Linked DNA regions of Pelodiscus sinensis. The protein of the gene in region 1 interacts with the protein of each later gene in a pairwise test. Links are inferred from orthologs where the notes say so. Each region holds a gene or a part of one and is shown in the gene's direction. Other genes may lie near its edges.

Region 1 (3,745 bases):
ATTCTTTAACCTTCATAGAATTCACAAAAAAGAAAGCAATTAGAGAATCACATATAAGACTCTTTAATGCAGAAAATGCTCGTCAGGACTGAGACAAAGCTTAAAAGCAATTTTTTTCCACCTGTATGACAGAAAACATGTTATTGACTCAGGCTGACATTTGTGTTCCCTAAGAAAACACTGCATTACCCCAAAACGAAGACTTCTTAGAGCCACTCTTCACATACAGGGCTTAGAAAGGATCATGCAGTAACTGATGCCCACGTTCAGAGTTCCTGATAAACCTCTGTATCTCGTATCGCACATATCAATGAGAAGCGGGAAACAAAGTATTTATTAGTCTAATGTCCATGTTGATCACCTTTCACGTGGTGGATCTGATCCTGCGCTTACCTCGCTCCGCACAAGTCAGATGAGACTGCGCTGAAACCAACGGAGCTATGCTGGTGAAAAACGAACATGAGGAGAGACCCAGGCCCTACAGATACAGCCATTCACCGCCCAGCTCAATGCAGCCCCCCCGTGGTGTCAGCCAGCAGCTAGCTGACAGCTCGCAGCATGTTAGGGTGGAAAATAAAGAGGCCTCCCGGAAAGCGGGAAGAGGGGAGGGAGGTCTAGGGAAATGGGCTTCGACCCAAAACACCAGCCCGCCTGGGACCCATCAGCAGCCACACGTGGAGCCAGGCTGGGGGCCGTGATGGGGGAAGCGGAGGCAGCGCCAGCCGGCAGGGAGCGTGGGGCAGTGAGTGGCTGCCACAGCGCTGGGCATATGGGGGGGGGGCACAGATCCAGTCAGACCTGGGGAGGACCCCCCCCCGCAATCCTCTGCCCCCCCCCCCCCCAAGACCCCCTCCTCACATCCTCCCCCAGAAGCCCCAGGTCCCTCCCCCAGCTCAGCCCCCCTCCCGACCCAACGCCCTTCTCACCCGCGGAGGGAGGGGGACTACTCCCCCCAGCCCGGAAGTGCGTGACCCGGAAGTGCTTCCACCGGACGCACCCGGCTGCGGAGGGCCCGAACCGGAGGCGGGACCTAGGGACCCAGTAAGGAACGCAAGGATTGGAGGGCTAACGTCACTTCCACTTCCGGTTTTTCTCACGTCGGTTGTTATGGAAACGGCTTCTGGTGTCGCGAGGTAGGAGCTGTGTGGCGCGTGAGGGGGAAGGGAGCAAAGGGCCGCTCGGAGCTCCGGGCTAGGGTGGAGGCCAGCGGGAAGCTCGGGGCATTAGAGTCGGGGCCTTGGAGCAGCTCGGGGCGCTGGGATGGGGGCCAAGGGGCCAGCTCGGGGCACTGGGATGGGGGCCAAGGGGCAGCTCGGGGCGCTGGGATGGGGGCCAAGGGGCAGCTCGGGGCGCTGGGATGGGGCTAAGGGGACAGCTCGGGGCGCTGGGGTGGGGGCAAGGGGACAGCTCGGGGCGCTGGGATGGGGGCCAAGGGGGCAGCTCGGGGCGCTGGGATGGGGGCCAAGGGGCAGCTCGGGGCGCTGGGATGGGGGCCAAGGGGCAGCTCGGGGCGCTGGGATGGGGGCCAAGGGGGCAGCTCGGGGCGCTGGGATGGGGGCCAAGGGGACAGCTCGGGGCGCTGGGATGGGGGCCAAGGGGGCAGCTCGGGGCGCTGGGATGGGGGCCAAGGGGACAGCTCGGGGCGCTGGGATGGGGGCCAAGGGGGCAGCTCGGGGCGCTGGGATGGGGGCCAAGGGGCAGCTCGGAGCGCTGGGATGGGGGCCAAGGGGGCAGCTCGGGGCGCTGGGATGGGGGCCAAGGGGACAGCTCGGGGCGCTGGGATGGGGGCCAAGGGGGCAGCTCGGGGCGCTGGGATGGGGGCCAAGGGGACAGCTCGGGGCACTGGGATGGGGGCCAAGGGGGCAGCTCGGGGCGCTGGGATGGGGGTCAAGGGGCAGCTTGGGGCAGTGGGATGGGGGCAAGGGGACAGCATGGGGTGCTGGGATCACGTCAAGAGGCAGCCCGGGACTTTGGGGTTGAGTTAAGGGGCAGCTTGGGGCAGGGAGTTGCTGGAGGCAGCATGAGGCACTGGAACCTAGGGGTAGGTGGATGGTGGGGAGTGGGGACAGTTCACAGCCCTGGGATCTAGCAGGTCAAGGCAAAGGGCAGGGAAGAGGGTAATGGTAGTGGTAATAGGGAGACACTGAGGAACAGGTGGGGTGATGAGGAAGGTGACTATCGGAAGAGCATGATTCCCAGGGTGGATAAAGGGGGTGGAGACCAAATGGCAGATAGAAATCCCATCTTTTTTCTTGATATTAAAATAGATTTTTTCTTGGAGTCGAGGACCTGTGAAGGGCAGCAGTTCAAAGCAGATACTCCCCCTAATGCTCCTTTTTCACCTATAGGCATGAAGAATAGCATCTGTGCTGCTTCCTGAGGGACATTTGTGCTAATCATGGCTGCTCCTTCTTGCCCCGAGGACATGCTGACCCAAGTGACCCAGTTCTGGAACATGCTGGATGAAATGGCAGAAAGCACTCCTGAGAGTTACCACAGATTCATGCAGCAGCAGCTGGAGGATGCAAAGCAATATTGTGCTCCCCCTGAACCACATCTTTGTCTACAGACCCACATCTTGGTACGTGGTTCAAGGGCTTTTACTATAAGAGAGCTATGAGATTCCACTAGGATTGCATCTGCCAGGGAAACAATGGGTGTACCTGGACTAGCCACTAATAGCTGAGCTGTGTCACAGGAGCCCTTGCAAGCTATCTGAATACCCTTAGGAGTGGCTGAAGGTCCTTCTGAGCACCAGAGTTCACTGCTAGAGACTCAACTGAGACACACCAGTGGAGGAAGGAATGAGGATATCATTCAGCCTAAAAAAAAGATTAGACTTTGTAAGTAAAAATAGCCTCTGCCATGCCACTGGTTAGGATAACTATGATAAAGGTTCTCATGCTTTGTCCTTCAGAGTGTGAGGCACTTGCTTAACATAAAGGGTGCAAAGAGGTGCATTATGGAAGATTTATATTTCCACAGAAGCACTGAACAATGGCCAGTGTCAAGTTATCAAACTGGTCTATATATCTGCTGCAAAACATGTTTACATGTGGCTGGAAAGAGCAGTAGATGCAGATATAAATTCTAGTACTAAATGCAGAGCTAGTCCTAATTAAACCAAGCAGTGATCATGTTAAAAGTAAGAGTCTGGTGAAAATCGCATATAATTAAGGTAGAAATACATTATGGGCTGAGGTTCTGTAATAAACTAGAATGCATTCCAGCTGGATTCCTAGGAAGCTGGATTCCTAGGTCTGAGATTCTGCCAGTATTGATTATTATAGCAGATCACTTAGGCTGCGTCTACACTGGGCCACTTATTCCAGAAAATCAGCCGCTTTTCCGGAATAAGCTGTGAGCTGTCTACACTGGCCCTGGAATTTCCGGAAAAGCAATGACGCTCTACTGTATAAAATCAGCCGCTATTCCGGAAAAACTATTCTGCTCCCGCTCGGGCATAAGTCCTTATTCCGAAACACTGTTCCGGAAAAGGGCCAGTGTAGACAGCCCAGTAGTCTTTTCTGGAAAAAAGCCCTGATTGCAAAAATGGCGATCGGGGCTCTTTTCTGGAAAAGCGCGTCTACATTGGCCACAGACGCTTTTCCGGAAAAAGGACTTTTCCGGAAAAGCAGCCTGCCAATGTAGATGCTCCTTTTCCGGAAAAACTGAAAACGGAATAGTATTCCGTTTTAAGCAGTTCCGGAAATTCATGCCAGTGTAGACACAGCCATAATGTAAC
Region 2 (3,745 bases), on another chromosome or scaffold:
ATCTTCAGGCAACATTTTGTTTGCACTGGAAAGGCTCCACATACCCAAACCCCTCCCTTCCACAAGCCCACCATTGTACTCTTTACAAATGTTGAAAATTATGAATGGTTCTTTAAACCAAAAGGGGGAGGGGGATATCGCAAAATCGGAGGGTAACGCTGGTTGGCCAGTCTTCACATTTTCTAAGATCAGATCCACCATTAACTAGATTAAAAGAAAGGAGGACACATTTTTTTCCTTTTAGTAGAAAGGAGAAGAGCATGTTATTCTCACTCTGGACTCTCCCACTTCTTAATCATTTTCCAACTGTCCTGCGTCCCACCCCTTTGTCCTCTTCTCCGTACAGCTCCATTCCACATACATTGCAACTCATACTAATCAACCCACCAGAAACATTACCAGATGGGGGGCTCCTTCTAGGCTGGAAAGACCCTCATTTCCCCCTTCCCGCTCCCCTCCCTCATTCAGTCCCTTGTCTTTCCCCAGCGCTCAGCCAATTGCAAACAAGAAACCAGAAAGCCACCAAACATGAAATCGCAGGCAAAGGTGCTGCGCATGGAGAGATCGCTCAGGGAAGTGCTAATAAGAATATTACCCCCGCAGTTTTCCTAAGTACCCCTCCCCTCCTCGCTGGTGAGTCACCCTCGCCAAGGGCTCGAGCCAGCTTGCAGGGAGAGCAGAGTTTGCACGAACGACCCCTAAGAATAATACTGGTGGCTTCGCATCACGGGGGAAGGGTGGGGGGCGTGGGCATTATAATGGCATGTTTCCCTCCTTCCTGGAATCCCCTCGGCGATTGCCCCCGCCCCGAGAGAGCGTGCGTCTTCTCCTCCCGCAGCTGTTTGTGCTCGCTCGCTGCTTGCCGAAGAGACAGAGTTGGCCGCAGCAAAGCGAGGCCGGGCGTTATTTGCGAGTGGGCGTGTGCTCGGGGGAAGGGCCGAGCCGCCGGCCGCAGCCTGGAACAGGGGCTGAGAGGGAACACGCGCTCGGGGCCAGCGCCCATCAAACTCCCGATCTCCCTCTTTCTAGTCCCCAGCCCTCTTCAACTTGTCCCTGTGTGCTGTGCGCAGCCCGCCTCTGCCTCCTCCCCCGGCCTGTCCCTCACCCAATCTCTCCGCCTCCTCCGGTGAGTGTGTGTGTGTGAGAGCCGCCGAGCTACGGCCGCTATCTAATTGAGGAGCTGGGATTCCTCACGTGAGAAGTTGATTTGTAGTTTGAACACGTGGCTCATTCAAAAAGCCGGAATATTCAAGTAATTTTCTTCCTCCCCCCTCTTGGTTTTTTTTTTTAATTGAGAGGCGGCGCCTCCATGCACGTAGTGTGACATTTTCGTAGCCCGCCTGCTGTCGCCGTTGCCAAACGGGCTTGGGGGCAAGACAAAAAAAGTAGTTTATCTCCCCCTCCTCCTCCTTTCTCAGCCCGCCATCCTAGTCCCCACGCTGGGTGTTTCCCCCTGGCCTCCCCTCCGCGCCCGGCTCACGCAGCATTCACTCCGGATTCCGATTTGGAGACAGTTTTTTTTTTTTTTACCCCGGGAGAGAGCAAGCAAGGGAGGGTGGGAGGGACTCAGGCTGCAGATCTGATTTTTTTTCCACCTCGCTCTCTCTCGCTCGCTCTCCTCCATCGCATTTTATTTTCTCCCCCCCCTCCCCTCCTCACCTTATTTTTGCAAGCCCGGGCTGTAATTTGTTGCGCGTGTGTGGATTGTGGGTGTTTTTTTTTTAAACGAGCAAGACCATGAACAAGCTGTACATCGGCAACCTCGGCGAGAGCGTGAGCCCGCTGGACCTGGAAAGTCTCTTTAAGGAGTCCAAGATCCCCTTCACGGGCCAGTTTCTGGTGAAGACGGGATACGCGTTCGTCGACTGCCCCGATGATAACTGGGCTATGAAGGCCATCGAGGCACTTTCAGGTGAGTCTCTTCAGGAACCCCCCCCCCATCTCATTGCCCCCCGGCAGCTCCTCTTCCCTCACCCACAGAACCCCCCTTATCTCGCCGCTTCCACGCCGGGGAGACCCCGCAATCTGTCCCTGCCTTGCCAAGGGGGTGGGGGCGAGGTGGGTGCGCTGGGGGCTGCAAGGCAGGAGCTGGGGGGGGCTGCGGCCCCCGGGCACGGCGGCAGGTAGCGGGCACGCCGGGGTGTGACATCCCGCTGCTTTCTGGCCTCCGCAGCTCGGGGCTTGCGTTGCAGCCGGGGGGCCATAGGAGGGGGCCGGGGTGCGCTAGGCTGGCTCTGGCGGCGCGGGAGGTGGCCAAGGCGGCGTTTTCCCCCCCATCGCTTCCAAGAGGCCGGGGCAGAGGCACCAGCCTGGGCCCAGACACCTACCACGCCGGGGCTCCCATAGTCCTTCCCCCGCCCCGACGGACAATCCTGGCTTCCCTGCGAGCGCCCGGGGACGCGGGGGACTTTGCAGCAAGGGGAGGCCGGGCCGTGCAATGGTTTCGGGGGGCCACGCCAAGGTTAGGGTGCGGAGGGGAAACAGCCCTTCTTCCGGCATAGTGCGCAGGGGCGGCGGGCGAGCCCTGCTCTGTGCACACAGCGCGCACCCATAGGCGCTCCCTGCCCAGCGTGTCGCCCCGGCAGCCGGGCTGCGGGCTTGGCAGAAGCCGCCTTCTGGGTGCACTTGGAAGGAGTTGGCTGGCGAAGCTCCCGGCCCCACGCGGGGTGTTGCACGGAGCCGACGCATGCTCCAGCCTTCCCTGCAGCACTGGAGAGTAACCCAAACTCGGGAGAGTAAAGGCCCCCACCCCGGGGTGAGGAGCTGGCAGGGCTCGGCGCTGGAGGGCTGCATTCCTTCGGGATTATTTATTTCGCTTTCCCTTTGCCTGCCTCTCCCGCACCCCCCGTCACTTGCAGCAGCCAGGCCGCCTCTCTGTCTCTACATCCTGTTTTTGTGAAAAAAGCAATGTAGCCTGCTTGACTCGGTTTGCAGAGGCTTGAGGAGGGGAAGCTCCTGGGGCTTTGAGGCCCCCTCTAAAATCCTGTCTTTTCATCCATCCCTCCTCCAGAAAATGCCATGAAGTTTAAATCGAGGCCTGTCGCCCTGTGGGACGCGTTGGAGGTAGCCGAGGGAGGGAGGGGTGCCCAGAATAGGCAAGTAGGGGAGACACAAGCGTTTTCACACAACCCTGAAGCATTCCCAGTGTCTTCTCTCTTTGAGCTCCAGGGCTTTGATCAGCTCATCCCAGCGAAATTTGTATCTGTATTACAGATCACTTCGAGAAAATGGGTCAAATACACGTAGAGGTACCTTTTAAAACAGCGTCTTTCACTTACCCTTTCGGCCAATTATTGTGCTAAAGGACGTATTAAAAGTGAAGTCTCTTGGCTTGTGGTTGCAATTTGCCACTATACTGTTGTTACACCAGTTATTAATAAATAAGCGAATGTGTTGCACTTTTAATTTCCTGTGCTGTTTTAAAACACCACATATTCAATTTGAGAAGAGGGGGGCAATGAGAGAGTCCTTCAAACACATTTAAAAACACTTTCCCCTAATTTTGTTTTTATTTTCAGGTAAAGTGGAACTGCATGGTAAACTCATAGAAGTTGAACATTCAGTCCCTAAAAGACAAAGGTAAATATTTTTTTTCTTGCCCTTGTCTGCTACAGCAAAATCAAAACAAAATGCTTAAGTTATGTTTGTTTCCTTGTGGATAAATGAACTACTTTATTAAATTAGAAAACCACTATTGATATCAGAAATAAATCCAGAATAATCTCTTTATATTTTTAACATATTA

What was found.
Region 2: the proteins of PIH1D2 (region 1) and IGF2BP3 interact in a two-hybrid assay, tested with the Homo sapiens proteins (2 studies listed by BioGRID and IntAct). The two-hybrid records come from large-scale screens. The link is inferred for Pelodiscus sinensis from reciprocal best matches to the Homo sapiens genes PIH1D2 and IGF2BP3.

Annotation. Positions count from the first base shown.
Region 1 is NC_134736.1:6,937,211-6,940,955, reverse strand, and holds the start of PIH1D2 (PIH1 domain-containing protein 2), read left to right. Parts: upstream 1-1,017; 5' UTR 1,018-1,133; intron 1,134-1,902; exon of another isoform or gene 1,903-2,041; intron 2,042-2,348; 5' UTR 2,349-2,398; coding exon 2,399-2,581; intron 2,582-3,745. Other genes in the region: uncharacterized protein NKAPD1, read right to left, coding at 1-2.
Region 2 is NC_134712.1:198,981,829-198,985,573, forward strand, and holds the start of IGF2BP3 (insulin-like growth factor 2 mRNA-binding protein 3), read left to right. Parts: upstream 1-822; 5' UTR 823-1,126; intron 1,127-1,734; 5' UTR 1,735-1,737; coding exon 1,738-1,912; intron 1,913-3,518; coding exon 3,519-3,579; intron 3,580-3,745. UniProt on the Homo sapiens protein: RNA-binding factor that may recruit target transcripts to cytoplasmic protein-RNA complexes (mRNPs). This transcript 'caging' into mRNPs allows mRNA transport and transient storage.